Caenorhabditis elegans: one gene and its partners. The protein of the gene in region 4 interacts with the protein of the main gene of each other region in a pairwise test. Each region holds a gene or a part of one and is shown on either strand. Other genes may lie near its edges.

What was found.
Region 1: the proteins of asna-1 (region 4) and spig-17 interact in a two-hybrid assay, tested with the Caenorhabditis elegans proteins (one large-scale study listed by BioGRID).
Region 2: the proteins of asna-1 (region 4) and K01A6.4 interact in a two-hybrid assay, tested with the Caenorhabditis elegans proteins (one large-scale study listed by BioGRID).
Region 3: the proteins of asna-1 (region 4) and cylc-1 interact in a two-hybrid assay, tested with the Caenorhabditis elegans proteins (one large-scale study listed by BioGRID).

The regions. Positions count from the first base shown.
Region 1 is NC_003280.10:6,169,007-6,176,604, reverse strand, and holds spig-17 (FMRF-Like Peptide), read right to left. Parts: upstream 2,957-7,598; 5' UTR 2,931-2,956; coding exon 2,690-2,930; intron 2,644-2,689; coding exon 2,573-2,643; intron 2,252-2,572; coding exon 2,183-2,251; 3' UTR 2,042-2,182; downstream 1-2,041. Other genes in the region: F40H3.3 (uncharacterized protein), read right to left, coding at 3,734-3,835, 4,016-4,134, 4,809-4,905, 4,947-5,063; hst-3.1 (Sulfotransferase domain-containing protein), read left to right, coding at 7,374-7,519.
Region 2 is NC_003282.8:11,735,697-11,744,099, forward strand, and holds K01A6.4 (Glycine Rich Secreted Protein), read right to left. Parts: upstream 4,609-8,403; 5' UTR 4,589-4,608; coding exon 4,322-4,588; intron 4,256-4,321; coding exon 4,211-4,255; intron 3,989-4,210; coding exon 3,923-3,988; intron 3,876-3,922; coding exon 3,399-3,875; 3' UTR 3,293-3,398; downstream 1-3,292. Other genes in the region: K01A6.6 (G_PROTEIN_RECEP_F1_2 domain-containing protein), read left to right, coding at 231-398, 464-573, 619-732, 792-940, 1,051-1,136, 4,791-4,909, 5,130-5,272, 5,787-5,893 and 2 more; K01A6.8 (Glycine Rich Secreted Protein), read right to left, coding at 1,335-1,673; K01A6.7 (Collagen-like protein), read right to left, coding at 2,551-2,871; K01A6.5 (uncharacterized protein), read left to right, coding at 7,010-7,052, 7,201-7,309, 7,474-7,912, 7,976-8,008.
Region 3 is NC_003282.8:5,221,410-5,229,215, reverse strand, and holds cylc-1 (Lipoprotein), read left to right. Parts: upstream 1-3,443; 5' UTR 3,444-3,507; coding exon 3,508-3,599; intron 3,600-3,648; coding exon 3,649-4,171; intron 4,172-4,227; coding exon 4,228-4,257; 3' UTR 4,258-4,322; downstream 4,323-7,806. Other genes in the region: thn-6 (THaumatiN family), read right to left, coding at 174-297; nsph-4.1 (Nematode Specific Peptide family), read right to left, coding at 1,028-1,396, 1,445-1,944, 2,049-2,325; Y59E9AL.8 (BTB domain-containing protein), read left to right, coding at 5,044-5,046, 5,096-5,791, 5,839-5,979.
Region 4 is NC_003281.10:8,891,145-8,899,318, reverse strand, and holds asna-1 (ATPase asna-1), read right to left. Parts: upstream 4,238-8,174; 5' UTR 4,231-4,237; coding exon 3,797-4,230; intron 3,749-3,796; coding exon 3,490-3,748; intron 3,282-3,489; coding exon 3,072-3,281; intron 2,944-3,071; coding exon 2,818-2,943; 3' UTR 2,665-2,817; downstream 1-2,664. Other genes in the region: ZK637.4 (uncharacterized protein), read right to left, coding at 4,663-4,759, 4,815-4,868, 4,918-4,985, 5,038-5,106; lnkn-1 (Protein linkin), read right to left, coding at 5,444-5,575, 5,882-6,043, 6,102-6,587, 7,201-7,530, 7,579-7,640, 7,696-8,008. UniProt on the Caenorhabditis elegans protein: ATPase required for the post-translational delivery of tail-anchored (TA) proteins to the endoplasmic reticulum. Recognizes and selectively binds the transmembrane domain of TA proteins in the cytosol.

The DNA of each region.
Region 1 (7,598 bases), on a different chromosome or scaffold from region 4:
AAAAGCACTGAGAAACAAGACCCAAGGACATGCGAACCTAAGTGTGACGTTCACGTGCCTCACAGAATGATTGGGGTCATCTAATTCTAGTGTAACAAAAAAGAAAAATGAAATTGAGCCGACATGATCTTCGGATCATGTGAAAATTCTTCAGATAAACATTCCGAATTGGATTGTTGGTATTTATTATTTTTGATGTTAGGCAACATTTGGCGCTGATGGATAATCTGAACTGAGTCACATGGAAAAGAGCACATTTCCGAGGAAAAGCCATTCAATAAAACCATGTGACTGATTGTTCTCTTAATGAAAGCAGCAGTTGAGCTTATAATTCATTCACTGATTGTTGAAAATAAGTTAAATTAGATGTTTGGAATCTAATAACTACTATGGAAACAAATAGTTGGCCACACCAAGAGGTCTGCCAGTGGAAATGGAAGGCGTAACTTGCCTGAAAACTAATGCATGCCTACTTTCTTGTGAAAATATATTTTAGCCAATTCACCATGAAAGAACGAGGAACAAAAATAATCGGAACAACGGAAGTAAAAAAGTGAATTGGAGCAACAAGGACATCAACCAATAGACTGCTTGAAAATGAATTGAAGAGTTTTTAGAGATTTTGGTTCTAGGAATTCAACAATAAATCCACGACTTGATTTTCTTAGAAACATAGCTGACATTCTTGAATCAAATGTGAGCAAAAATTAAAACATTCAAAATCTAAACTGAAAATCTGGAATAAGAGGAAGGGGCAAAAACATTTCGGGTGGTGTTCAGAATGAATGAAATTCCAAAATCGTGCTCTGAATATATGAAGTTGAAATAATACAATTCCATAAGTGAGTAGATTTCCTTATTTCATAATGTAACCAAACTTTAATGTCTAGTCTTCTGTACAGGAAAAGCTCACTCTGAAATTTTTAGATACACTTCTTAGAGTAGGCGAGTTAGGTTAAAAATGAATGTTTCTCCTGGAAAATACAGTACAAGAATGAAGACTTGCTTCTGAATATTGACATATTCACTAGAACTGAAGCTTCAAGGGATGTTTGGTTGGAACTATCACGCAATGTTTTGCCATTTTTCAAAAATATATAAATGTTTTTTTTAAACTTACTTACTTTTTGCGGGTAAACATGCAGCTAGTGTGTCCACTCAAAAATGTATTTTCCCCCGGTAGTAAGTCGAAACACCCGAATGAAATTCAAATTCCGTGCCAACACTCCATTTTTTCTTTTCCTTCTTTTCTTCAGACCCTTCTGCTTCTTCTTCTTCTCCTCGGGTGCCCCGGAAGAAACGAAGAGGACATGAGCACTCACTTGCACACAGAATACGTTATATGGGGATGTCTTGCAACAAGCCGAAGAAGTAGGAGAAGAAGATGAAAAAGACTATGCAGAGGACAAAAACGGCGAGAACGTGGCCACCAACCGCCTCCGTCGTCGGCAAACCACTTTTTTTCGGCAAAAAAAAACGCAAAAGAAGAGCAAGAAACGATTAAAACTGGCGTCTGCTCTCCGCAAACGCCGGAAACACAACGATGTCTTGTGCGTTTGCAACGTCTTCTGATGATATCATCTATTGCGCGCTTCAATGGATAGATCACGCAAGACAAAAGGAACAAGTAGGAGGAGATGCTGAAGAGGAATTGGCTGAAATCATTTATATCCTTTCTGCTTTTTTATTGTGCAAGACGAAAATGTCTTTTCGTGCAGAATGACTAAGATTTTGCAAAAAAAAAAAACCATTCATTTTTTGCAATCTTTTTTTGATCGGGGATATGATACAAGGAGAAGACGTGGAAAATTGAAAAATTATTTGTGGAAATGTTCCTGACAACCATATCGAAGAAAATTTGTAAAAAATATGCAGAATCAGCACGACATAGAAAGACAAAAAGTAAGTTCTTATCAGACTTGTCATCTGCTTCAAGTAAAACAAAAAAACTAAATTCCGTTTTGCTTTAGTTAAAATTCTCCAGCCATTAGAGGCAATTTAAATTTTGCCTATAAATATTAGTAGTTTTAGATAAGGTAAGATGGGCAAGATTTATGATAGTTCACAAAGATGCAAATATTGCTATCTGATCAAAAATCAGGCATACATATGTTATTGTATAACACTTTTTCAAAAATCTTTTTCAATAGTTGCAAACACAAGTAAAAAAATTAAATAAAAATCAGTCTGTAGATTCAGACTTCCTCCTGGAGAAACCCATAACTTTTGCTCGACCACGACGAACGACGAACTGAAAAATGAAGAAGATTTGTGAGTTGTTCATAGATCGGAACCAACTGTGAAACATGGGATTACAAACTCAGAAATTGAGTGCTTTTGGGTAAAAAGAAGAAGTAGGAGGAACTAAACTATTTTGAAAAATGTCTTAAATGGGTTTTAAAACGGTTTTTAAAAGTTGCCTTGTTTTGGAAATATTAAAATGAGTTTTTTTTAGAAAGTTTTGGCAACTGAATATAGAAATATGATTGAATGAATTTTCAATTAGTTAGTGAGGAGTTCTATATGTATGTGTGTATAAATTCAATTAGGTAATAAAATAAATAAAACTTACCCCAACATTTGACGGCTCCGCATGCTCCCCAGAATCCTTTTTTGATTTGAAAGAAGGGGGTGGACGGAAACCTGAACTTGTTTCAAAATTAAAAGTATATCCCATATAATTGCTTGCCTGGTGGTCTTGCAACTGGAATGCTCATTTCTGGAAGTGGATCTAGTGGAGCAGCAACTACAGATGGCGGAGTTGGACCATCAATAACTGTGACATCTTCCCCTTCATCCCTTCTAAAATCTCCTGAGTTCAGAACAAATGCAGCATCTTCAGCAGATTCTGTATTTTCAGGAAGTTCTCCAAGCGACGAGACCAGTGATATTAGAACAGAAACAAATATCAAGGTTAACGGAAGATTCATGGTTGATCTGCCAAGTTCCGTTGAATCTGCAAAAGTAGGCACGGAAATGAAAACGGTTTTGTTCGAGACTGAAGATTGTGACCATCATGTTGTGGCATCATTCAATTGGCAATTAGTTTGTTGTAAAAGTGAAGGTCAATCGAGTGTCTATATGACCACTGGACGAAAGGAAATTTAATAGAGAATAGGAAGGAAAAGATCAAGATGGCATGGAACAATGACAATCGAGATTTGCATAAGTATTTTTTTCAGAATTATCTGGAATTTTTGAGAGATAGAAATTGAATTTTTCACTACGTTTTCAGTATTGTTTCGTCATACACGGGCTCTCAGATTACTTTCAGATGTTTCGGGAAAACAATTTTGTCAATGTCCAAAATTGCACTTTGGGAGTATTGAAAAGATAATAATTAAAAAAAAATGTTTTGATCCAAAATTTTAATTTTTCAGAAATATATCATGATGCGAAGTTTTGATTTTTTGATACGGCATGTTGAAAATAAATTATAATTTTTATAGTTTTCATTTATTATTGATAAAAGCAAGTAGAAACCATAAAACCCTCAATTGTTTCGAATAACTTATCAAAAGAACTTTTAATAAAATGAGAAATGAGTGATTGAAATCCATAAACAAAGAAATGAGATGATCATGAGAAACAAAGTAATACAGGAAGAAACATTTGTAAAGTGGTAAATGTAATAGATAAGAAGAGTAACTCCGCCCATTGAATAGAAATCAACAACAGTTACATTACTTGTGAAGCCGACCTTGACCATAGGACACAAATGTTCCAATTATTTTCAGATATTTTTTAGTTCCGTCCTCTCTTTGGATGGTTGTGCAGCCGGCTTGAAAAGTGCGGCAAGACTTTCCAAAAAGTTCATTTCTTTCCCAAGACCTCCCTGAAAACAAAACAAATCAAATCTAGTGCTTGAATCTCTCAAATATCTTTTCAACATCTAGCAAAACCTCATTTAAATAAGCATCGAGAAGGAAAGATGTGAGAAAAAATAAGAGAGACAAATATCAGGAAAAAATTTAAATTTGAATAAGATCTTTTTGCTCTTCAACTCCCAACTAACCACCAATTTTTTGTCGTCAAGTGTCAGATTCTGCCCAATATCGATTCCAGTTTTTTCATCAACACCAATTGAGCCGCTGCCTCCGTAAGTTGACCCATTTAGAATTGCTTCATCAGTTTCTGAAAATATAAAGCTTAAACATATTAGTGTTGAATCAATTCAAAAGGTTTTACATCATTTTTCAAATATTAAATTCATTCATGCGATATAAGAATTTAGTCTTGATTGAACCAATTCATAGTAAACTATTGAATAAATATTCAAAAGAAATTGGGTTCTTACTGCGAACTTTCAACTGTTTCTCTACCAGTCCATATATATTAAACTTCAATTTGGTATTGTTTGTGTTTCCTTATATAAATTACTTACATACCTTTAAATTGTTTTTTTTAATTCAAAAAATTATATGATAAGATCTAGATTTCCTAGATTTTCCAGATAGATTTTTGAGCTCCTCGTATTTTTCCTAGTTGTATGGTTGATTTTGTTTCATTCTCTTCAATGTCAAATTCAATTGTTCACGGATGAGGAGTTCGAATAGAGAAACACAAAAAAATAGCTGGCACTAACCATAATCAGATGATTCATTTTTTATTCGCTTCTTATTCAGAACATAGTTTGAATTTTCTGTGTGCCTCTTTTAAAGAATAATGTATGAATAGCTCATTCTGAAGCTTATGAGCCGAGAGAGGGAAGAGTCATTCCGTCGATTGAATGCATTTTGAATTTCTATACTCATTTGTTCCCTCTCTTGTTGTGAAAAATAAATCCTTCATTTATTTTGCCCACTTACTATCTAATTTGAACGTTCCGTTTCCAGTCGTCAGTTTGAAGTCTCGATTTGCTCCCCAACCAAACAAATTGAAGTTTTGATTTCCGCCAATTTCCAGCTGAAAGTTGTTTTCTTTTCTTTTCTTCCAAGCTTTCTTACCTCTCCATTTTTATTTTTATTCAATGAAATACCACCAAACGGTAATGGAATATTGAATTGTGCTGGAATTACAGTTAATATAATAGAGACGAGCAGAGCGTGACGGATGAGAGACATGATTGAAAGGATATGGATAACTGACTGTCTATTCTAAAACAAGATGGATTTCTCTCTGTTTCTATGTACTCTCTTCAAATCTCATTATGTTTCAGATTGACGCGATTAATAATCATTGAAAGGTGGTCAGTGAAAGTAAGAAGTGAAGATAGATGACTAATTCAGGAAAATGCGCTCTAACGATGGGTGTTCGCTAGATTGTAGGAAACTTCAAAAGAGTGATCTAGGGGTTAAGAAAATATAAAATTTGCATTTGGATTGTTATGTCTTCTGAGCAAGAGGCTTCTGGGAAGTTGAATGCTTTGGATTTTAGCGCCGATTTCAGATCACCGGATGCTCCTTACCTATTGGTTTTTGTTTCTCTTCATTGAATTTTAAGATAACATCTGAAAAAAATAACACCAGAAGTCACATTTATTCACTTGAATTGATGTCAACTACTTAGCCAACTTTAGTTTGACAAAACTTGGGCAAGACTTTACTGAAGCCGGATCCCGCTATAGCTCAAATTTGAATCATCACAGAAACATCACAACTTTAAAAAATGCCAAAATTTTAAACCATGATGATCCATGATGATTTTTTAAATTTTGAGTTAGTAAATACGGATATATAATATTTTATGACCTCTATTTCTATAAAACTTTTGATTATACCTAAAAAGTTATTAGAATTGAAAAGTTCACAAAAGAAACGGGTAAGGTTTTGGAAAATATTTACCAAATTAAAATTTACTCTGAAAAATATCGTCTTTAAATAAACTGTAAATATATTGAGAGCTGACGTAAACGAAAATTTCCTGGGAATCTAAGAAATGTTTAGAAGCTTGACCTCTCACTGAGCGGTAAAAAGTGTGAAATGACACATCGTAAACTGCTTGTCAAATCTCTTCCATCTGGTGGCTCATAAAATGAAATGTCGTTTTCCAACATTCCGCGCTTCTCATCCTTCCGACTCAAATGACAAATCAAAAAAAAAACTTGGAACAGGTGTCCTACCCGTTCATCATTAGTTTACTCCAAATCTGTTCCGTTCCTCTCTAGTTTCCACTTCTGCTGTCTGCCTGTTGCTCCCGGACCACCAGATATTTTCTTTACGTCTCTATCTCCCGCACACTTTATTCTCGGATGACAAGCGTAATAGTGAGTGGATCAGGAGAGAAACTAGAGACAATGACAGATGAGATGATGATTATACAACGGGAAGAGGAAACGGGTCAACGGGAGAGGGAAAGTTAGGAAAGCAAGAACTCTCCTGCTCCTGCTCCTTGTCTCAATTATCACCTTTTCTCATTTTATTTTCGATTTCTTCTTCAAATTGTTGAAAACATTTTTATCTTCGTACCCAGATCTTTTGACCATCATTCCCTCATTATGCTAATGTATCATCCCCACTCTAGTTGTCATGACCGTGTTTACGGTAGCAACAATAGAGGAAGTGAGGAGGTCACATTTTGATGTGAAGGTCGTTTCGATGACATGCCCCATACTTGCACACGTTTTGACAGTTTATCTACAGTAACACCGGAAGTGTATTCTTGGCAGTAACTAATTATGTGAAAATTAATTTATAATATAGTTTTAAAATTGTATTTCCATTGAGGGTTTTCTAGGTTTCCTAGACTAGACTTTATGTTCAAAAAAGTACCGAGAATGTCGAAATGAGAAATTTCGTAACGCAGAAAAATCAACTTTTTTTATCTTTTGTGTACCGTATTTTTTTCGAATGTTCTTTATAAAATTTCAACAACTCATTCATCGATTTAATAACCTTTTTTTTTGATTTTTGAACATATGACTCGTTTACCAATTCACAATAACCTCGCTTCGAATAACGCGTTTTAATTTCTGGAAATTCTGTAAATTTATCCACTTTCCATTTTTTTTCTTACCTTTTCTGTAAAGCATAATGTCTAGGTTTGTTTGATTTTTAATGTTGCAAACCAACACTATTCAAATAAACTTTTTCGTATGATTTGATTCTTTACGTCCTCGTCAACCAGATATTATTCTCCAATTCCCTTTTTTCCACCCTACTCCTTATTAATTCATAAACCCTTTTCGGGACGGACTACTCATTATATTTTTACATATTAGTTGGAAGAGAGAAGCTAGATTTCTTTCTCCCATCTTTTCCATTTGTCCTCTTCCAATATATCTATCCCTAAGGGTAAATCCCCTCCAAACTGTTTATTTTTCATTGAGAAGTGGAAGTGCACTAAGTGTGCACGACCTGCTCATTTCGGCATAATCGTTTCCAATTCCGTTCGAATCGTTCAATTTCTTGTTTCAGAGAATGAAATGATGCAGAATGGTCAAGTTTTCAACAAGATGTGTAGTTGCTTGTCTATTGACAATTGGAATGTGCTTCTTACAGTATAACTTATTTTTTCGAAATTTCAAGTTCAAATGGTGGATAGATTTAGGAAAAGGCGAGAAATCTCATTTGGAGAAAAAGTAAGTTATATATTTATGGAGTTCGGAATATTGTTTTTTAGAATTACAATAATTGTAAATGACATTTATCGTCAACAAA
Region 2 (8,403 bases), on a different chromosome or scaffold from region 4:
TCTGGCTCATGACTATAAAATTTTTCTTACCTCATATATTTTAATATAATTTTTTGACAATTTCTGGAGCTCAAATAAAGAACTAATCGCGCTCAATAAAAGCTGACTAGCCAGACTTGAGATTGAGATTTTTATTTATCATTTAATAAATTGAAACATGAACAGATGGTTTTGCTATCTATCAAACCTATCAAATATTTAAAGTTCCTTTATTAAAAGTAGAATTTCAGATATCTGCAAACGTTGGCTTTATGTTCGGTCGTCTTAACAATGGCTGGTCACATATGGCTGTATATGGATTCGCGTATCCAATGATTCTCCTGATGCTTATTGCACCTTTATGTGCAGTCATGTTAGGAATGGGAAAACGAGAGAAACGAGAAGGAGATCGAAGATTTGTTAGTTTTTTAATCAAAGATACAACCTGAATAGATCACCTTAAAAATTACCAATTTAATTTCAGCCAAATCCACTTTACCAAATGATCTGGTTATTAACATTTTGTGGATGGCTCAGTGTTCTCTCACCTCTTCCCTTCACTGTATGGTACTATTTCGTAGGTGAAGGCACACGGTCAGTTGCTAAAATCTAAGTTTAAGAAAACTTCAAAGGATTCAGATCATTAAATCAATCGATTGCCATGTGTCATTTATTTCGAACTTCAATGGAAACAATACCACATATGACAGACACAATGATGACTTTATTTTCGGTGCTGCTGGCCGCTGCAAGGTTTTGAGCAATATTTTCTTTATTTTTCTTTTACATTTGTAAAACATACATATTTTAAGATTTCTAACTCAATATCATCGAAATACACTGAAACTTCGAACGGTCGAACGATTTTCAAGAGCTATTTGGGTCATTATTTTTGTATGTGTCACACTGGCGATTTTGAGGTTTTTCGAGCACGACACAAAAGTATACCAGTTTTGTATGGGTGAGTTGTTAGTTTTTTTGTTGCAAAATTTGAATAGTGGTTCATCTTTTCCACAAAAAACAAACTTTACCGAAACAATCTAATTCTATCTAATTTCTTCAAAAATACAGATACTGAACCAACACCTCAATGGGCTGGGCGATGTATGGTTCGAGATGGCGCTCTGATAAATATTGTGAATCGATCGTTTTGGAAGGTGAGTGTTTGTTTCCGTTTCACAGTATGAATTGCGTAGTCCTGTTTAACGGCAAGTTCACTAAAATCACAGCAAGCCCGTCTAATACGCTCAAAAAAGGAGATCTCAATAGTATAAACCTATGTTTCTGTTTTTACACAATACTAATCGTGATGAATTTATTTCAAAATAGTGTGGGAAACATCTTTAAAAAGTTATTTAGTTGCTCTGTTGTTGTCCACCGAATCCTCCTTGTCCTCCTTGCTGTCCTTGTTGACCTCGCATCTGTCCACCTTGTTGTCCTTCAGAGCCTGATCCTCCGTTTCCTTCGAATCCTCCTGATCCGCTCTGTCCTCCCCGTCCTCCTTGCATTCCACTGGTTCCCGTAGATCCTCCGAATCCACCTTGTCCTCCTTGCTGTCCCCCCATTTGTCCTCCCTGTTGTCCGCTCTGTTGACCACTTTGCTGACCTCCTTGTTGACCTCCCTGTTCACCTTGTGGTGCAGCCATGACGATACCGACAACTAAGAGAAGAACTGCGAGTTTAGTAGAGAACATGTTGATGAAGAATTAAAGAATACTGGTGAAAGTATATGCCTTTTCAACGATTCCCTCGGTCGTTTTATACCAAAAATATGATGGTGGACTTATGTAAATCTCATTGTGAATCAACGAATTTTTCTCGAACTCTGTGGGCGCCAATGAGTATGTCTGTGTAATGATGGGATTTAGTGGTTTGATGGTGAAAAGCCGTATGATCGACAGGCAAAATAGCTATAATATGAACTTGTTTTGTTGCTGCGCTGATCACGATCAAAATGCGAATTTTTCAAGTTTTTTTGAAACAAAACAATGCCGCTTAACTCTATGCAAAGCTTTTTTCTTCAGAAAGTGATAGTAGCAATATGCCAATTTAAAATCTACTTCTGCGTTTGAGATCTCTAAATCGAAACAGCATTTGAGCTAGAAAATGTTGAGCAAAATTTTTGGAAAACGGTATTTAGTTAGTGATTCTTCTTACTTTTTCATTCCAAAAGCTCAATTAAAAATGAAAAAAAAACTGCACATGTACGTTGACTATAGACGCGTTAAAAGCAGGCTATGGTATTTTTGTAAATATGTGTCATTGTAAAAATTATTGTAATTATTGTAAATTAACCATTATTAACCATTATTGTAACCATTATTGTAAAAACAGACAAAGACATCATGATAATTTTTTATGAATAGATAATTCCAGTATAGTTGGTTCTTATTCACTAATTATCAAAACCAAGTTTTAATGCTCTTCAATATTCTGAGATTAATTTCTCCCAAATAATGTTATTTTGATAATGTTGCCTTCAAATTTTCTTTCAAATTCAAATTCAAGTTTATTTGAATCAAAGTTGTGATATATACAATAAATATGAATAAAAAGACAAAGCGCAAAAATTTATATTCCTGGTTGTGGTACATTAATTCCGCCGACAACTCCTGGTTGTCCGATAACTCCACCTGGTGCAACTCCTGGTGGTGGGATTGTTGGAAGTGTCGGCAGGCTCGGCAGAGTTGGTAAAGTTGGAAGTGTTGGAACCCCAATTCCTCCAATCACAGGTTGAACTCCTCCAATTTGTCCCGGCAGTTGTCCATTGAAACCTGGTTGCCCTATTCCAAGCTGTCCTTCCATGCCTGGTTGAACTGGTGGAGGAATTGGTTGGTCGTCGGCAAGTACAACACTAACGAGGAGAACAAAAATCATAGAGGAGTAGGACATTGTTTTCTGAAATTTAGGATTTTTAAAACTTTGTAATCGAATATTTAGAAGTGAGGTTATAAATTCTCAAACAAACCTTAAATGGCTGAAAATTAGAAGTTGATGATATCTGAGCCAATAAAAACTCATTTTATACCATCGAGAAAATACCGGTTGGATAACTTTTCGGGGATTCCCTCTTCCAAAACAAAACGAAAAAATCATAGTTGTTTAACGTTTGAACATTACTGTAATAACGGATATTCTCTATACACAGTGTTTCACCGATTTCTATGGGATTATGACGTGGTTCGGCAAATGTGGTTTTTGAAAACTGTCGAGTAAAAACATACGTTTGATGTTCAAATTGTTCAATGAATAATCCGATTTGTTAAAGTTCGAAGTGGACTTTGAAATAGGAGTTTAGAGGTGTTTGTAAAAATGCTTCAATATTTATTAAAAATGTCAAAATAAAACATTAAAGTTAGCGTTAAAAAGAGCAGTGGAACACATTACCAGTTTTTAGATGAAATACTGAACATCACATATTAAAATCCTTGGTTGTTGTTTCCATTGGATCCTTCCTGTCCACCCTGTTGTCCTTCTTGGCCCAAGCCTCCGAATCCACCGAACCCACTTGATCCACTTTGTCCTCCTTGTCCTCCTTGCATTCCACCGGTTCTAGTAGATCCTCCGAATCCACCTTGTCCACCTTGCCCACCTTGCTGACCTCCAAATCCAGAAGACGACTGCCCACCAAATCCTCCTTGGGAGTGTCCTTGTGTGTTTCCTTCAAATCCAGATTGCTGTCCCTGTCCACCGAAATCTCCCTGTTGAGAGTTCATTCCAAATCCAGATTGCATTCCTTGTCCACCAAATCCAGACTGTTGGGATGGTCTCTGAGCTGGGAATCCATTTTGAGAGTTTCCTCCAAAACCTCCGCCAAATCCTGATTGCTGTCCTTGACCACCAAAACCGCTTTGCTGACCTCCGAATCCACCTTGACTGTTACCTCCGAATCCTCCCTATATTTGTTACGTTTAAAAATTTCTAAACAAATTTCCTATCTAACCTGCCCGCCGAAACCAACTTGCTGACCAAATCCACCGAATCCTCCCTGTTGTCCTTCGAAACCACCCTGGAAATATTTTTTATTACTCTGTTCGTGACATCATGATTGCAAAACTAGTATCTGATTTAGTACTACGTCTTCCATGAGTCACAAAATGCCTGCCTGCGTGCCTAGTAACTACTATATCAGTCGCGCCGCTAGATATCAAAGACGACTGCAAAATAGGCGTAGGGAGCCTTCAAGGTGACCTAGGCATACGTGGAAGGCGTATGAAGCACTAAACGTTACCGGAGAATTTCCACTAAATCCTCCTTGTTGTCCTCCGAATCCACCCTGAAATTTTTAATTTTGTTTTACTTTTTTCTGAAACAGGTTTCTAGAGCTATGTTGAAAGGTTACCTGAGAGTTTCCTCCAAATCCACCTTGCTGTCCAAATCCACCGAACCCTCCCTGGGAGCTTCCACCACCGAATCCTGATTGCCCTCCAAATCCTCCTTGCATTCCTCCGAATCCTTGCTGAGATCCTACTTGCTGGCCTTGTCCAGTCTGTCTCTGACCTGACTGGCTTTGCTGATTTTGCTCATTTCCCGTTTGGTTCTTTTTTGCTTTTGGGGCGGCAAGAGCTGAGCAAACCAGAAGTGCAAGTAGTACAGCTTTTGAGTACATAGTGTTCTCTTCAAATTAGAAAGAGAAAATATGAAAAGTGAATAAATGATCTGATACGAATTCTCATTCGAACATTGTCTATTTTATATGATTTTGATGATGTAGATCATGAATGTGGGGGAGGTTTTATGCAAAAATTATTGAGTCAGAATTGATGTCGTACTCTGAATGTACCTGGTCTCAAATGAAACCAATTTTTCAGGTATTCCTCCCACTTGCGGATTTTGCTGTTCAATTTGTGATACCTGGAGTTCTACTGGCTCTTCTTCATGTTGGATTCATTCGAGAACCCGAAATTGATATGGGCGATTTGACAAAACAGTTAGTTTTAAGGCGGTGTTTTTCGAACGAATTCAGATGAAATAGTATTTAAAAATGTCTTCTAATTCAATTGAAATGTTGCCTTCCAGGCAGGCAAAAAGAAGTTGAAAACTGTAGTCTTAATTTCCAACTAATTTCCTTCAATTTCCGTTTATTTTCTAGTCTATTTCAGTTTGAAACTTTTCTCACCACCAATTTTATTCAATTCTATTAATTTCAGCAATCGTTTCGGAAGAACTCCTCGAGATCAAACACGAATTCTAATAACGACTGTAACAATAAGTTTTCTCGTTGTTCAAGTTCCAACTGCATTCATCACAACACTGTCGCTCACCATAAATCATTTTCAGAATAATAATGCCCGTGAGTCACAGTTTTTGTGGTGTTCTAAAGTTCAGTTTTTGCTGATCAAGAATTTTGAACCTCGTGTTTGAAGACACGTTTAATTTCAAGCAACCATATAAAATAAGCATCAAAACATGAAGTTCACAAGATTTTTCAAAACTAGAAAAGTCTGACCCTTTTGAATAGATGATGATTAAATATTAATGACCTATAACATCACGTGGTATTCCTCGAACTTCCGTTTGCTTTTTCCCGTTTCAATTTTTTAAATGAAAGATATTTGGCCTAGGGTGCACTCAAATTACCCGCCTATTAGTAGGGAACATTTTCAGAATTCGAATAATATAATTTTATATAGGTAATCAGGAATCGCGTAATGACAATTTTTCGACCATCATAAATTATATTGATACAGTAAGGACGAAATTGAATTCGTGTTTATTTTTATTTTTCAGAGGGTTTTCTCAATTACTTCTTCCTCTGGTTTTGAATTTCGTTGTGAAGAATATCAATAAAACAGATTATCTTACAGTAATGGTATTAGCATTGGTGACTGGACATCTGCAACCGCTTCTCTCCATTACAACAATGGCTGCTAACACGGCAGCACTTTTAACTGCTTATTATGTCATTGTCAAAGTAAGCGTCCTTTTTTATTAAAAATCAATTTCAACATTTTTAGGACGACGATGAAGATGTTGGTGATAGTCGTACCTCAATAAGTGACAATGAATGTCAAAATGAGCTTCTGCTTCGAGCTCAGCAATCCACGTCACGGCGTGGTACTAGGCAAGTGTGGAACAGTATCCGAAGGTATCCGCCATTCATTCAAACATGTTACGCACTGTTTTACTTCTCTTTTTTTTTGAATTTGTCTACTGGTTTGTGTGACTTTTTCAGTGTGGTTGATCTTGTTTTCGAGTGTTTTGCGGTGAACCTTTTTTTCAAACTTCAGGTATTTTCTGTAGATATTCTGCATTTTATTTTCTTATGTGACAAAAAATTTTAATAGTACATAGGTATCTAAAGATGCACAATATCTCCTAGAAAATACTGCTAATTGAACAAACTCCAAATCAATCTTGAAATTTTCAGAATATCTCGTACGTATCTCAGTGTAAGTCACTCATTTGACACTGGCTCTCTTCGATCATTTTCTCGTAAAGGATCTGCAATTGGAGACGATATTCTGTGATTTCAACGGTTCTTCGGCCAAATTTGTTTCGCTTTTCATGTTCATCGCGTGCTTTCGGTTTCGCTATGATATATAATTTTTAAAACAATTACTTATGATTTTTAATTATCAATGCCTTTTGTCTTTCATGTGTGAATTGAATGAAAATGAATTTTTGCTCAAAATAAGGTTTAGGTTACATATTTTTTTTTACAAATTACAAGAACATTGGCTAAAAAACCACAGAAAATATATGAAGTAGACTCAGTTTGAAACGTTCATTGGAATCGAATGTGCAAACTTTGAAATTTCAAGAAAAAATGTCCCTGCCGCGCTAGTCTGGAATCTGTAGAAATAAGCGGAGTGGAGTTCGACGACACACAAATTTATAATGCTCGTAGAAAAACTACCGAGACAAACGTGGATGGTAAAATATCAACTTTGAATCACGTTGTGTTCTTTTAATTTTCTTCCCACTAATTAGAACAACGTTGATTTGAAAAAGATAAAGTAAATTTACCCATGAAAATGTATTTCTACTTTCTTCATTTGGTCAAGCGTACAATTCAACTGTCAATATAATGATCATTATAATTGTTATTTCGATGCTTTTTGCAATATCATGTAATAGCTTTCTCGTGTTTTGTGCAAAATTTAAAAAGGAAAAGAAGGATACCACATTGGAAATCACTCCACCGGTAATTTAATGTTATTTCGCAGATTAGAACTTGAATTTTGTAATTAAATAATTGAGAATTATATCTAATTCCAGGGAATCACACCGCAACCGCAATGTTCACGACAATCGAGAATGACAGAGGTTCAACAAAAACGAAAGGAGGTCGGAACGGAGTCAAGTCCAGTAAAGAACCAGATTCCACGTGAGTGCTTCCATATATTTGTTTATTGGCGTGTGTTGTACCAACGTGTTGGTTTTTTCCGAATTGACTGAAAACAAATTAAAAATCCAATTTTCTAAAGTTTGCATCAACATTTTTGAAAATGAATTCCAGATAAAGTTAGAAAATGCACAAAAAAATTTCAGGGATGACGCTTTCAAAGAAATGGCGAAACGTTTAACGAAAAAGGATAGACCTGAGAAAACTGGAGATTCAATTGTTGGAGAGGACGACGAAAATCCTCTTGCACAATACCAGATGCCTGAACGACCAGTCGTTCCACCAAATCAGGATGGTGCAACATTGGAGAACATTGTTGAAATGGAAAAGAAGCCTGTCTCAAAACAACCAACAATTCGAGCTTTAACTCCATCAGGTGGTGCCAAGACTGCACAGCCGATTTCAGTTGCTCAGCCGCCTCCTGTTCAACAGAAGTCCCAGAAATCCATTATCCCGAAGAAAGATAAAACTATAACCACTGATAAGACGCAATCGGATCCACGTAGCAGAGAGATTGAGAGCACTCAGCATGTGACCAATGAAGATGCAATCGATACTGGGAAAAAGGAACCTGCAAAATCTGTGGTAATTTTTTTAATTGTAAAACTATAGCTTTGATTTTCGCCCAACTTTTTTTTTATATTTCAGAGAAAAGATTTGATTTTGTCTACAAAAAACTGAAGAGGGATGTGAGTTTAACAATGTTCACTTCAAAGTTTCAACATTAATTTCAGAAATCGAGAAAAAGTAAGAAGGGCACATAATCTCACTGGTTCACCATTTTCAATTTCAATAAAGTTTTATTTTATTTTATTTTTACCGAAACATATCGTTTGCGGCTCACACCCTGATCTAAAGTTATCTCACACATGTTCCCATGGCTACTCAAAAATCAATTGAGCCGACCGGTTGCCGTTGAACGGTCAATGTCTATCTTCTCATGCTGCGTCTAGTATCTCGTACAGAACGGGTCATAAATACAATTACGCAACGCGGACAGCTGTTCGTTGGTATTTACCATAAGAACCCCTTCCACTCTTCCTCATTTTAGAAAATAACAATTTAAATTGTTTCCT
Region 3 (7,806 bases), on a different chromosome or scaffold from region 4:
CTCAACATTGCATTCACAAATTGTCAATCGTGAATTCCCAATGTGAAACAGTAACAATTTTTTGAACTTGAAACATGTTTTCTTAATACACTATACAAACTAGGAAATAGTTTACATGCCTACATACCTATTTTAATGCCTATACAAGTGCCTAGCTACCATATCAGCCTTACCTTCAGGGTTCCCGGGACCCACAATTCCTGGCCAAACTGGGAATGGGCAACGATTGAAAATATTAATTTTTCTGTCTCCGAAAGAGTTCAAAGGGAATAGAAAAGCTATTAGAAGGAAGAGCATGTTAAGCTTGATATTTTCCAAATAAAATCCCTATTTTTGTAGTGTAACTGTCCAAGTTTTGATAGGTCATTTGTGTTGGTTTAGATGGCGGTTTGGAGTTGAAAAACAGGAAAAAATAAATGCTGAGCAAATATGTGCATAGTTTGTAAAAAACAAAATGAGTTATTTATAAGAGTTAAGAGTTAATAAGAGTAATATAATTGGCGATTATTTGATTTCGAGGAGGCTGAGCATTGGCAATTTTTGTTTCATGCTTTTGATTTCATCAACACTAAAAACATCTTACTTTAGTGAGACTGCATCTATATAACAAATTGCCTTTTAATTGATTGAAACTCTTACAAGATCCTGAAAAACTGAACAAGAAGTAAACAAATTTGTTTCAATCTCATAGCAAAAAGTATGGCTATTATTGGGGACCCTTGTGTCACTAATTTTTATACCGGAGTGCTCGTAATGAGAAAATAAAATCTGACATTGAGAACCAAGTACGACCTCGTATTACTCGGATTGAATTTTAGGGTTTCCAACTCCTGTTTCCATTTTCCCCAAAAATTGAGAGAAGATCCCTGACAAAAAATAAATTTTTTGTGCAAATAATGTATTTAGTCAGTCAACATTTTCAACATTTTCAAAAATATGGGCTTTGAGCCCATTTTATTCTCACTTGCAGCCCAACAACATCCAAATTTCAAATTTTTATTCTACAGAACTTGAGAGTTCACATATTCTATCCGTCGAGGGTGTATCCTGGCAATGCCTTGCGGCAAAGAACTGTGACACTGGAGGCACAAGCTGGTCCACGAGCCGAGTGTTCCTTTCCTTGGTAACCATATCCGTACGACTCGTTGCGAACATCAACCTTGGCAAGGATCTGTTTTCCGCCTGGCAGGTTAACGACTCCAACTGAGATGTCTCCCTTGTGGTTGTTAACGTGAACTGGCTTCCAGATCTTTCCAGCATCAAAGTTGGCAGCTTCTGGGAATGGAATCCATCCATACTCGTATCCAACGACGTGTGGTCCAAGACGAACAAGCAATTGAATGGATCCAACGTTCTTGCAGTATTCGTTGTTGAACCAAGAGAAGTTGGCAGCAACCTAAATATTCCAAAATTAGAATTTCCGTCATTCATAAGATCCACAAACCTTTCCTCCCTCATTCCAGACACGACCCATAACAGGTTCACCCTGCATGTACCACAAGGCAACATATTGATCGGCACTGACTCCTGGAAGAGTATCCAAAGACTTATCCAAAGCTTGAACAAGCTTGCGAGTAGGCCATGGATCTCCCTCTCGGATATCGATCCATTCGTCGTGTATGACACGTGGTGGTGGTGGGCCCGGTGGTGGGATTGGTGGTGGTGGTGGTGGTTTAGGACAGTTCTCGCATTCGCAGTGTGGTGGTCCTCCGATGCAGTTGCGAGTGATGATGTACATTTCATTCAACTGTGGACCGACTTGTTTGATCACCTTGCCATTGAACGAGAACCATCCTTCCTCCGTCTTATTGTCAACGTATCCAAGAAGATTGCCTTCCTTTCTCTTCCAGAAGATTGGGAACGAATCTCCACAGCGAACAAGTTGATGTTTGTCGTCGATCTTCTCAATACGATCCTTGTATTTGATCCATTCATACCAGAATCCTGAAATGTTTATTCTCTTTAGCCCAATTGGTTCAATCTTTCAATTTGGTTAACCAGTTCAGTCAAGTTAACCAAACATCCTTATCTAAAGCCATCAAGCTCACCTTGGTTGTTGTGATCTCCGACATACTGGAGCACCTGAATTTGTCCCTCGAGCTGTTGCTTGGTCGTCAACTCTGCCTGCTTGTATGGGAATGAGCATTCAACCACTCCTCCGTTGTTCCAGGAACGTCCATGAATTGGTTTACCATGTTTGTACCAGAGAGCAACATACATGTTCTGCTCTCCCATACATTTGACAGGACTCGGCGGGAACGGTGAACCAATCGGCTGGAAAGCCCATGTGTCTTCTTTTGGTGGCGGATTCGGCTTCGGCGCCATCGATGTTGTTTACGATGATTGAAGGCGATCGAAGTATTGTTCCAATATGAGCAAATATGGCAATTTCGACTCCTTTTATAGGGAGATTCTTTTTCATTAGGGAGAGGTTACCAGGGGGTCACATTAAAATTTTGGCACTTTAGATGTTCTGAAATTTAAAAAAAAAAGTGTTCTTCTGTTTTTGTATTTAGCGCGGTTTCACGTGTTTAAAAACATTTTGTTGAGTTGAAAAAATAGTTTCAAGAATTAACTCATGAAGCAAAAATCTAGGGTTACAGACGCAACTGCTAATTAAGATAGGGATGCGGCTTCGCTCAGGAGCCGCCAAATTTTTCTCCACTTTCTCAGCAAAGTATATATATTTTTGGTCCAAAGCAATAAGTTATTCAGTATCCTTATTCCATAACTTTTTAAAAACTCACTTACAGAGCTTACTTACTTCGGCTTGTTACAGTGCTGTATTATTCTAAAGAATGATTCACATCAAAATTCATATGTCATTTTTGCAAGTTTTTTTATTGATTTATTGTACTTCTTTGACTATTTTCGTTTGCTTTGTATTGATTAAGCTCGGATCACAAAAATCTAAAACTATACTCGTTTAAATGGAAATGTTGATAAAAATGGACAATTTCCCGATTGCTTTTTGAGACCTCTTTTAATTTGTATATTTTTAGCTTTTTTAATGTAAATAAAAATTTTCCATTATTTGTATAAATAAATACAGTTTTCTATTTTCTTGAAATTTGATGCAAATTTCTGGACATTAACATGATCGACTTCTTATTTAAATTGGAGAGCAAACGTTTTCTAGTTACCATATACTTTTCCAGGAACTTATTGTCTTTATCAAAAAGCGCTAGAAAGTTGTCAGCCATTTGATTAATTTGACACACTGTAACTTCAATTTTTGATGCCGTATTCATTATATTAGTATGGGCTCCCTATTAGGCTTGCACTCCCTAATAATATTACAAGCGTGTTTTACGTGTTGGTTTAGCGTCTGATAGTTCATTGAGTTCATCAAAAATGTACAGTTTATTTGGATAAAAAATAATTAATTTTAACGTAACCTCCTCCTTTTGGTGTATATAAAAGGTGTTAAAATATGAAGAAACGTTCAGTTCGAATCTTTTTAATCGATTCAAGCACATCGTATAAACGCGACAAAACGACGGAAATATGATGAGCCCGTTGGACTATCTGCATGTCACTTTGCTGCTCATTGGCCCACTTGCCATTCTCATCGGATGTGGAGGAAAGAAAAAAGCACCGTGAGTTTACAGGAGCTTCAGGAATTAAAATTACAGGTCTTATTTTTAGACCACCAAAGTCGGCATCCAAGATGACTGCTCCACCTGCTCCTGCATCAGCGCCTCCCGCTGCTCCAGACGCAGCCCCTGCTGCTCCTGATGCTGCAGCTGCACCAGCTGATGGCGAGAAGAAAGATGGTGATAAGAAGAGTGAGATGAAGGAAGGAGAGGAAAAGAAGAACGAAAAAAAGGAAGGAGATGAGAAGGACGAAAAGAAGGATGAGGAGAAGAAGGATGGAGATGATAAGAAGGACGAAAAGAAGGACGACGATAAGAAGGACGAGAAGAAAAGCGACAAGAAAGATGAAAAGAAGGATGACAAGAAAGAGAAGGATGAGGAGAAGAAGGATGACAAGAAAGAAGACGAGAAAAAGGATGATGACAAAAAAGATGACAAGAAGGAAGCCAAGTCCAAGTCCAAGAAGTCCAACAAATCCAAGAAATCCAAGAAGTCGAAACGAGAAAAGAAGGATGATAAGAAAGATGAGGATAAGAAGGACGACGACAAAAAGGATGACGACAAGAAAGATGATGTGAGTTTATATTTTAGAACCCTTATTTGAGCAATCTTCTAACCATACATTTTCAGGAGAAGAAAGACAACGAGAAAAAGGAATAAACATTTCTTGGCCGATCTCTTCAAATTCGAACTTCTAAAGTCAATAAATGTCTTATTTTGAAATGTGTTTTGTTTTCTTATTTTTATTCCTGTTCGTCGATGTGATTGAAGTATTCTTGTACAACCCTTCCAGTTTTCTGTAGGTAGAGGTAGGCGGACAGGCATGCAGATTTATTTGACAAGTAAGGCAATGTCGTTCAAATCAAGCTGTTGACGAATATCATCACGATCTTCAGATGTATATGTAGAATATCAGATTGATTTGAGATTGCTTTCTTCAAAATTAGATTCTTCTGAATCCAACAGTACTTTGCAATAATTGCTGATTTTTGGTAGTCTGATTTAATTTTTTTACCATTTCTTGTTTCTTGGTTTCTTGAAATTCCCTTCAATTTTTCTTGGCTGTTTTTAACCAAGAATTCTTGTTTCTAGTTTTTTGGCGGAAATAATTTCTCGCGAATCCCTGGTGCCTGGTACGTAATTTTAATAATTTGCACAAACTTTTATAATATCACTTTGAATACGTGACGTTCACGAAAAAACTAAAGATTTATATTTACACTACATATTAAATCACGGAACATCCACGAAAAATGTTGAAAACAGCCTCATTTCAAGTTTTGCCAATTTTGGAAGATCTCCATTCTATAGAAGTAAGAAATACACAATGAACTCGCAAAAGAAAATGAAGGAAGATATCAATTGTGGAGAAATTAAACTGATCATTGAAAGCGTAAAAGATTTCAAAAAAATCAGCTCTTCAGTTGGCACAGTTATCAATCTGCCATGGTAAGTTAAAGTTGGTGTTGATATTTTTTGAAAATAATCTTGTATTCAGGAAACTTATACTCGAAAATCGGATAAATTGAAAATCAATTTATCATGTAATGAAGATTCGGCAAACACTTTGTGGAATTGTCAAGCGGATATTGTTATGCAACTAAGCTATTTTGATACGAAATCTGAAGCTCGAAAGAAATTGGAAACAATTTTCGAGAAAAAATTGTTTGATTCCAAGAACAAGAAATTTGAAGAGTCAATGGATCAATGGGCTGAGATTTTCAATGAAAAACGTGAACTTGAGGGAACTATTGAAGTGACAGCTAATCTGAAAATAACAAAAGTTCAAGGATATCGAAAAAGGAAAATGTTTGATTACTCAACGGATCATCATCGTTATTTCGATGGAATTCTTCTTGTTGAGAATAAGAAAATCCACGTCAATAAGAAAATTATGTCAATGAGTTCTACATTCTTCGAGAATATTTTCTTTTGTAATTTCAAGGAGAAGGAAGCGAAATTTGTTGAAATCCCAGGAGTATCTTACGATGAATTCATGATATTTCTTGACTTCATTCATCCCACCGGGCGACAAATTGAATCTGGATTTTTGGAGAATATGATGGTTCTAGCTGATTTATTCATGACTGATTGCGTTATGAACTCTTGTGAAGAATTTCTCATCAAAACAGACAAAGTTGATATGGCAAAAAAGTTGATATTGGCTGAGAGATTCTCGTTGTGTGAATTGATGGTAAGTTGGAAATCTTTTATAAAAATTGTACAAGCACACTTTTTAAGGATCACTGTCTCAATAGCTTCAAAACGGTTCGAGATTTCTTGCCGTTTGCAAAATTAGAATTCTATTCTGAAATCTCTGATGACATTAAATCAGCCCTCATGGAGCGTCTCGTTCAAATCAAACGTCTTGGTCTTTCCTAATTGTTCTATTTCAATAAAGCTTGAAGAATCGTTCGAAAAGAAATGTTTATACAGCATTTTATTCACATCTACTTCTTCGTTTTTAATGTCGCCAAACATACCACGCGTTTGATTGAATTTCCTCAACTGTCGCTTGACTTTCTGAAACTGACGCAAGCATTTTCCAAAAGGGCTTGTCGCGGGAGGTCGTTCCCCTCCTCGATTTTGGCGATACAGTTTTCCCAGTAGAAGTAGCGTTTGTTCATGTCCTAAAAGAAAGTTCTACACCAGGAGCATGCGGCACTTTTTCGGCAAACGCACAAAACTGTATCACCATATTACCGGTACAGAGAATGTAGATAGTTAGAGAGTAACAGACATCCGGGACCCAATGGGGCGGGACGCGCGGAAGAGACGATTTGTGTCGATTTACGAAATTTTCCTCGTTGTCATCATTTCGTAAATCGACACAAATCGTCTCTTCCGCGCGCCCCGCCCCATTGGGTCCCGGATGTCTGTCACTCTCTAACTATCTACACTCTCTGTACCGGTAATATGATAATCCGAGTTGTTTGAGGTTCGTTCTATCATAATATAATAAGTTTCTTGTTTCTTGATTTCTTGGTTTTCTTAGCATTTTGACAAAATTTTCTTGTACTTGTTTCTTAAGCAAAATTTTACCAAGAAATTTCGAAGAAATGTATTTTTTAGAGTTCAAAAGCCGCAAGATGAAAACGCTCAAAGCATGAGGAATTCTGCTAGTGTTTGTTCATGTGCCAAAATATTCGATCACAGACTTTACCATTCAATAATTGCTAATTTTTGACAGTCTGATTTAATTTTTTTTTTCTTGGTTTCTTAAACTGCGCATAACTGGTAGACATGCTCAAATGCTCCCGTATTTTAATGAAAAAGAAGTACATTTACGTGTGAAAACAATATTTAATACTTTGATTTCAAAATATCTCACAAACACTTTTTTGGCGTGACACCCTGACACTATGTGACCTTTGCAGCCCCCTGAATGAGAATCCATAGGAGAATCAAAATCAAACAAAAATCAGTACGAATCTTCATATTCGATACAAAACATCGTATAAACGATACCAAGCGACAAGAAGACGATGAGCCCCATGGACTATCTGCACTTCATTTTGCTTCTCGTCGGCCCACTTGCTGTGCTTGTTGGATGCGGAGGAAAAAAGAAAGCACCGTGAGTTTATAGGAGTTTCAGGAATAAAAATTACCGGTTCCCTTTTCAGACCACCAAAGTCTGCGTCCAAGATGACTGCACCACCTGCTCCTGCACCAGCGCCTCCCGCTGCTCCAGATGCAGCCCCTGCTGCTCCGGATGCTGCAGCTGCACCAGCTGATGGCGAGAAGAAAGATGGTGATAAGAAGAGTGAGAAGAAGGAAGGAGAGGAAAAGAAGGACGAAAAAAAGGAAGGAGATGAGAAGAAGGATGGCGATGACAAAAAGGACGAGAAGAAGGATTTTAAAAAATGATAAGAAGGATGGAGAGAAAAAGAGTGAGAAAAAAGATGAAAAGAAGGACGACAAGAAGGACGACAAGAAGGATGGAAAGAAGGACGAGGAAAAGAAGGATGACGAGAAAAAGGACGACAAGAAAGAAGATGACAAGAAGGATGACAAGAAGGATGAGAAAAAAGATGATAAGAAGGAAGCCAAATCCAAGTCGAAGAAGTCCAACAAGTCCAAGAAATCCAAGAAGTCTAAGAGAGAGAAGAAGGATGATAAGAAAGATGAGGATAAGAAGGACGACGACAAAAATGATGACAAAAATGATGACAAAAAGGATGACGACAAGAAAGACGATGTGAGTTTGAC
Region 4 (8,174 bases):
CAACACTGGTCGAAGGATTCAAAAATCTCTTTGTGATGGAAATCGATTCAAAACCAGATGGAGAAGACGTCGAAGTGGAGAATATGGAAGAAATGTTGCATAATGTCTGCAGTTCTAAGCTCAAGGACTTGGCGGCACTAAACCATCATCGATTGAAGTATCATATGACACCACAGGAATGCCTGATGTGCCAAATTGTGATGACTCGAGCCGATGATGTGAGGAAGCACATGAGAAATGTGCATCACATCACTCAACCGACGGTGTGCTCGTGTTGCCATCATACCTATCTTTCGTTGAAATCCGTTCATGCACATAGAAACTCTATAAAATAAGGAACAATGGATTCTGAGATACCGATCGCAAAATCGACAAATGCCCGCTTCTGTTTTCTGGCACCGCCTGCCAAAGCTGTTGTGCAAATTAGAGGAACGCCTCAACGAACACCTTCACCACACGTGGAAGAGCCGAAAACTCCTGTCCTGCGACTTTTGAGAAGCTCGCAGAGAAATAAACATCAAAAGTTCCATGTACATTAAATAGAATTTTTTTTTACTTAAATTTTCATCTTTTGTTTTGAACTTTATGCTTGTAACACTATTATACTACTAGTCAATACTAGTTCGCCAAACTTTCCCATCACTTTTTAACTCTGTTACATAATACTTTTGCTTCAATGAAACGGGGAAATGATTTTATTTTTCACATTTTATTCGTGTTCCAATGGTTTTCTATTTCCTTCTTTTTCTTCTTTACTGTTTTTCAAAAAATATTTTCCAGATGAAATGTGGATTTTTTGTTCTCAAAAAAGTGCAATACGCGACGTTATTGTTGTCATGTCTTCAAGTTTCAGCCAAAAGAAGAACGACGCCCTCCACGCAGAGCTCTTGCTCTGTCTCCGCCTCCAGCACCAAGTAATGATCTTCTTGCAAAGAATCTGGAGATGATTGAGATGCATCAAAATGGCCTTCATTCCGAGGGGACAAACTTTTAGGGTGGCAAGGTATTTTTGGGGACAAAGTATCCAAAGTGACATGGTATCCAGTCGACAAAGTGCCATTTGTCTCTGACCGGGCGTATCTTCGGTGACAAACTTTTTCAACTAGTTTTTTATATATATTTCTCAATCGATTTTTGTTTTTTTTTCACTGGAATAAGTTTTTAAATGCAATTTTCCATGGATTTTCGGCCTTGACTACTCACAATTGAATGTATGAACAATGATCCCTCCTGATGATCTGATTATTCAGCTTCAAAGGATCAGAAGGGTACCTCCTGGTGATCTGATCCTTCAGCTCCGAAGGATCAGAAGGGTACCTCCTGGTGATCTGTTCCTTCAGCTTCAAAGGATCAGATGGGTACCTCCTGATGATCTGATCCTTCAGCTTCAAAGGATCATAAGGGGTATAAAAGCAATAAATCAAGCATAGTTGATCAATTCTCCGTGATAACAAACTTTTGGGTGACAAAGTATCTTAGCGGACAAACAAAAATTACCGGAAACTGATATATTCCAAATATATTTCAAATATATTCCAAATATATTCCAAATATATTCCAAATCTATTCCAAATATATTCCAAATCTATTCCAAATGTATTCCAAATATATTTCAAATATATTCCAAATATATTCCAAATATATTCTGACGTCCTTTTGGCACGCATCATATTTTCGATCGTGAAAGTTTTGAAACGGTTTTATTTTACAAGTTTATAATTTTGGAAACAGAAAATATATTTATATAAGTTTTAACAGCTGCGGTGTGTGTTTCATTAACTTCCAGCTTCTGCCAAATGAATGTTTGGAATTATCCAAAGCCTTTTTTCACCATTTTTATAAAAAATCTGAACAGTGAGTACAGATTTGGTCATATCTCTGTTCCCTGGTACGATAATAACACAATTTCGCACAGAAATTGAGAAAAAGATTAGTAGAATAGGAAATATATTTGGAATATATTTGGAATAGATTTGGAATATATTTGGAATATATTTTAAATATATTTGGAATATATTTGAAATATATTTCGAATATATTTGGAATTGATTTGGAATATATTTGAACTAATATCAGATTAAGACTGAATATTTGACAACTCATGTTTATTGTATAAATTCAAATTTCAAAACTGCAGAGAATGGGATATTGCACGTGGCTATTTGGTAATTTGAATGCAGAAAAAATTCCAAGGAATATGAAGTGGACCAAGGAAAATAAATTGGAAATAGCAACTTGAACATTAGGAAACGGGGCTAAGTGAATTGAAAATGAAATCACATGAAAAATAATACGAAGGTAAAATTACTCCAAAATCATTGTATCTCCAACTGCCATCCCCTCCATGGAGGCTCCATGGCCCTCCATTCTCAGGATCCATAAGTCTGGTTAAAAACAAGCTCGTAAACTAGAGATTTTAACAAGTTGTGTGAAAATTGAATTCTCTGAATCTAGGTAAGTGTCGGATGAAGTCTAGCAGTCGGAAAAATGTACTGCTTGGTCCCATGACCTGTCGGCTGCCTAATACTAGGTACTATTTGAAAGAAATTACGTCTAAAATCTAGCTAATTAAAATGATTACTTGACAAAAATAGTTTGCCAGGCTGAAGTTTGAAAGATAATTATGTTCCAAATATACTTCAATCCTAAGTAAAAAACAATGAATATCATAAATTATTCATTTGATTCGAAAAAGGCACCCACAATAAAGCGAGAAATAAGGGGACAGGGAATTTTGGAGAAAAAACATGGGATAGGAAGAATCTTTTAACATAAAAAACCACAGAACAAGTTGATTTTGTAGGAGAACAAATTAGTTTAGTTTTTGTTAGCTTCAGGATCCACCATCCGTTCGCTGAACTGAAGAATTGCGGGCCCTCCACGCACTTCTGCCTCAAGAAGTGGAAGTTTGACGACGTGGAAATCCTCGTAGAGCTCATCGATCTGGAAAAATTGATTTATTCCGCATCTAGCAAATCACGACAGAGTCAAAAATGCACTGTGGTTATTCAATATTAATTTGCTCAAAGTTTCTAATTTAATAATTTATCAAACTTCTCATTTAAACTCACATCTGTCAAGTATTTCGACTGAATCGCCTGTCTCGATGCACATTTTCTGCATGAAACTGTTCCATTTGCATCGGTATCCGGAAAGAGAAGTTGATTCACAATAATATTATGAGTATCGATTCCTTGTTTGGACAACTCCTGAATAAGTCGTTCGGTTTCGTAAAGAGAGAGGAATTCGGCAATGCAGACGCAGACGAATGTGGTGCAATTCTGTAAATACATATTTGAATGCTCTGCAGAAACTTTGATGATTTAAAATCTCTGAATTCAATATATATCAAGCTAGAATTTACCCTTGATATAATTGAAAAGGTTAAAAAAACATATTACCAAGATGCAGAATTTTACGACAATTTTCGCGTCTGGGTGATATATCTCCGTAGTAATTTTAAATATCACTTGAATCTGAAAAACTAACAGGATCCTTAAACTGTGCGTTCATCTTTTTCACAGATTCTAGAGTCGTTGTCATCTTTTCAATCATTTCATTCATTGATCCACCTCCCATTCCAAACATTCCACCGAATTGATTCATCATTGGTCCAAACATTCCTTGAAGTGACAGAATTTTCGTAAATACTTTTTCCAAAAGTGTTGGGAATTGAAGAAGACGAAGAGTGTGCCCAGTTGGAGCGGTGTCAAAGACCACAACGTCGAAGTCAAGAGAGTCTATCAACCTGAAAAAAATAATAGATTTTTTAAAAATCAGAATCATTGACACTCACTTTATCATTTCCCCGAAACTCATTGCCTCATCAATCCCAGGAAGTCCTCCAGCAAAACTTTGAAGAAAATCTTTTCCCATCGAGAATCCACCGCTTCCACCTTCGTTTTGTGCAGCATTTTGCAGCATTTCTTCGATATTCCCCATTTCGACGCCTTCTCCGTTCGGATTTGAATCGATTTCCATTGCAAAGAGATTTTTGAAACCTTCGACCAGTGTTGGAGTTTTTGTGAATTTCTGACTGAAGGCATCAGAAATGTTGTGGGCGGGATCGGTGGAGATGAGAAGAACTCTCTCACGAACTTTTGAGAGTTGAGCTGCCAATGAGCAACTGCATGTCGTCTTTCCGACACCTCCCTTTCCACCCACAAAAATCCATTTTAGCGTTTTTTGTTCGAGAATATTCTTGATAGAGGCTTCCAGCTGATCCGACATTATTTCTGAAAAAAAAAGAAGTTTTAGGTTTATTTGCATTTAAAGTTTGAAATTTTAAAAAGAAATGTCTAGCCTTTTGCAGTTTTTTTAATTTTTCAAGTAAAAATGGATACAAATTTTTATTGTTTTTCTACAGTGTTTTCTCGACTTGATAGGAGTTAAGTTCTTTAATAAATAACTTTTTTGATTCGATTATGAAAATTCCGAAAGTGTTTATTACAGTACTCCAAAGGCGCACAACTTTCTGCATTTAACAAAATTTTCTCGGGGCGAGACCCAGGTTACAAAACCTCAACATTTTATGTCTGGGTAATATTTTTTTTTGGAGAACTGAAGAAATAATAATAAGGTAATAGAAAACCATTAGAACACGGATAAAACTTGAAAAAAATGAAATAATTTCTAAAACTTTATTAAATAAAAATCGAAAAATCATTCGGACGGTTGTTTCTGTGAAATGTGAATTAGACGATCATCGATATGAACTGGTTCGGAGCTCGGAGTCACTTGCACACCACTGGCCTTCAATCTGAAAAAAATGAATGTGGGTTCCATGTCATTGCAACGATTTTCCGATGTAATACCTCAATTTTCGATTGTCCCAAAGGCAATCCGGCATCGGGTAAGACAGAAGATACCTGAAAATATTGAGTTTTTTATGAGAATTTTCCATAAAATGAAACTTACAGTTTCAATGGCGCAATGTAATAATCCAAAAACTCCAGAATTCGCTCTTTCAGACTGTTGTTTGGAACCTGAAATTGGAAACTTTTTGTTAAAGTTAACAAAAATTTGAAGAAAACTCACATATTTCGGCGAATATTTGCTCTGCCGCTCCACGTCATTCATTAGAAAATATTTTGGATTTGACTTCATTAGGAAAAAATTCAAAAAGTTTTATTTTAATAGTTCGTCAAAAAAACGAAAAAGTCTCTGTTCAGTTTATAAAGAGAGTGATGGAGGGTAAGGGGTCACGTGGAATAAATATTACAGTTGTTTTCAAATAATGTTTCTATTTTCAAACAAGGAAAACTCGGATTTAAAGCTGATCTCTAAAAATACTCCGACGTGCAATCACAGCTCGAAATGGGAAATCTAAACACAGGATGAAGCTTCAAAAGGTCAAATATGCAAAAAAAGAGACAAATGATGGGAACCCGTAAAAAACGATCTCGTCTTCAAGAAGATATGATCTTAAAATTCACAAAAAAATCTACATGGCATCGAAATGGAATCGATGAGATTGTTGTTGTCGTTCGTATCGATCTTCCTTTTTCTCTCGATAATGTAAGAATACGACAACCATTAGAAGCATACAGCATACGAGAGCAATGACGGCAAGACTCTGGAAAATGAGAATATCGATTTATTATAGAGACGTGGAAATGTGCCCCATGGCCAACTGACTACGCTCCGCCCCCGAGCCATGGGTCTCGTTAGTTATTTGGCAGCAAACCCGTGAATTCAACGAATTCGTATTTGCAACCATTTTGAAATGTTTTTCGTTAGTTTTAATGATTTTTATGCCGAAATTATGTTTAAAGAATGCATTAAAAATGAAAAGTTTTTTTCTTTTATTTTTTAATTTTATTTTATCAATTTCCGTCGTTCCCATTTGGAGCGTATGTCCACGTCTCCATAATAATCTTACCTGAACAATAAGAGCTGATGGTGTGACGTAGAGCCGACTCGTCCAGTGTGGATATTGATCCGATGGTGGGAGAACAATAATCCGAGAATTTGGAACAATCTGTTTAAGACTGTGTTTCCAATCTTCTTTACGATCTGCGTATTTCGGAATGGCAATATTCAACTGAAAAAAAGATTATTTGGAATAATTGAACGAAAATATCTAGAAGATATGAAATTACCTCATCCACAAAATTTGGACTTCTTCCAAGACCATACAACAAAAATGGGAGATAAAGTGCTCTATTTGATGAAGCCGGAACTTGACATGCTACACTCTGTGTACTACCTCCCCATCCATCTGTCATTGAGAAAGAAGCACATGCACCAGTCATACTGATACTCGATCCAATCTCGTTTGATTTTGGATTGCATCGATCACTGCAAACTCCTGTGAAAACTTGAACTTTCAAGAATGTTGTATCTCCTTTATCAGGGCAGTAGATGAATCCAAAACGTGTCTGACCACCGTATTCATACTCAACAAGAAGATCCAATGATCCATCTTCAAGAAGATCAAAAAATGTTCCCATTTTGATGACTCCGAGAGACATATTTTTTGGTTGAATATTCTCTTGAGCTCGGATTTCGAATCGTCGTGTTCCGTTCTTTTCACATTTTGTACATTCTGCATTGTCCATTACTTTGATCACAGGGCGAGTGTTGGCCTGAAATTATTCAAATTTTGATTAATGAAAGGTAATTTTTTTTGCATTATTCAGTTAACTGAAGTTATTTTTGGGAAATCAAGTCTGATCTTCCTATTTTTACTCTTCTCGTACTATTAATTAATTAAATTTTTGAATTTTAGGCCATGTCCTAGTATTTTCTCGTTACTTCCCGTTATTTCTAATGAAAATCGATAACACTATCAAATTGATTATTCAATGAAAAACAGGAAAATGAATAAACTATGTGATTTTAGAAGTGTCATTCATCAGCAGAACAAGATACATTACTGTATTTAGGAGTGAGTGGTCTGTTAATTAAAGTAAAATGCGTCTCTGCATCTGTTACAACATACCGAGGGAAATCAAGAAAATGCGAAAAATTACTTGAAATCCAAAAATTTAATTAGTTAATTGTCCGAGAAGAGTACACGGCCGCGTTTCTTACAAAACTCAAAGAAAATTAAAAATCGAAATTCAAATTCAATAGACGAAGAGGTTGATTTTTGGAACTTTTAAAGAATCAGATATACATAACGCCTTATCAAGCCATAGAACATTTTTTAAAAGTATACAACCACATCCTGTTTAAAATAAAAATTGTTAAACTCACTCTGGTTGCCTGCGCAATAACCACCATATCAGGGAAACTGTCCAACGAGAATTCTCCAACGCGGAATATAACTCGTGAAAATGGTTCTTTAATAACTGTATAATCTTGCATATCACAGGCCACCAATCCCCAAAGTTTAGTCTTCGACCAAGAAGCCATTTGAGTAATGTGTGAGCACTCATCTTCACGGCAGATTGGTACTAGAATGTCGAGTTCACCGTCCGAATCAACATCCATAACAACTGGAGCACCAACGAATGGATATTGTGCTGGAGTCAATTTAGGAACCCAATCTCTAAATTGCCAGCTGATTTTTGTCTTTTGCCAAACCTGAAAAATATATTGCATTTCAAACTACTACTGTTAAAATAGACTTACACTCATGAAAAGTGATCCATCGCTTTCTTTGGTCATGAAGACAATATCAGCAATCAGGTCGGCTAAAACGTGAAATTGTTAGATTCCAATTAAGAAAATATAAAAATTTAAACTCACAATTCAAGTCAACAAACAAGTGCGGCATTCCTGGATAAATATTTAATTTTTCGGGAAAAGCGACGAATTCATGTTTGCAACCATTCACCAGTAGATTGTATTTTCCTTCTTTATTGAATCCGGTACAGAACATTGATCCATTCGGATAGAATCCAAGAACATCAGTCCATCCATCATCAGAAACATCAATGGCCATTGCATGTTGTTGAAGCATTGCCACGTGGAATGGACGGAATATTTCCTTCTCGTCTTCAATTTCTGATGTCCAGAGAGTGTGATTGTAGATTTCAGTGTCTTTATCGCGAATTGATACCTAGAAGAAAGTCATAGATTATTAATTTGTTAAAAGAATCAATACAAATTTGCTCTATTAGAATAATATGCACAAAACCTGAATTTAAAAACGAGACTTTCCAAAAATTTGTCAAAAAGTTTTTGGTTCAAAATACATATGTTGTCTAAATATTTTTTTTTTAAAT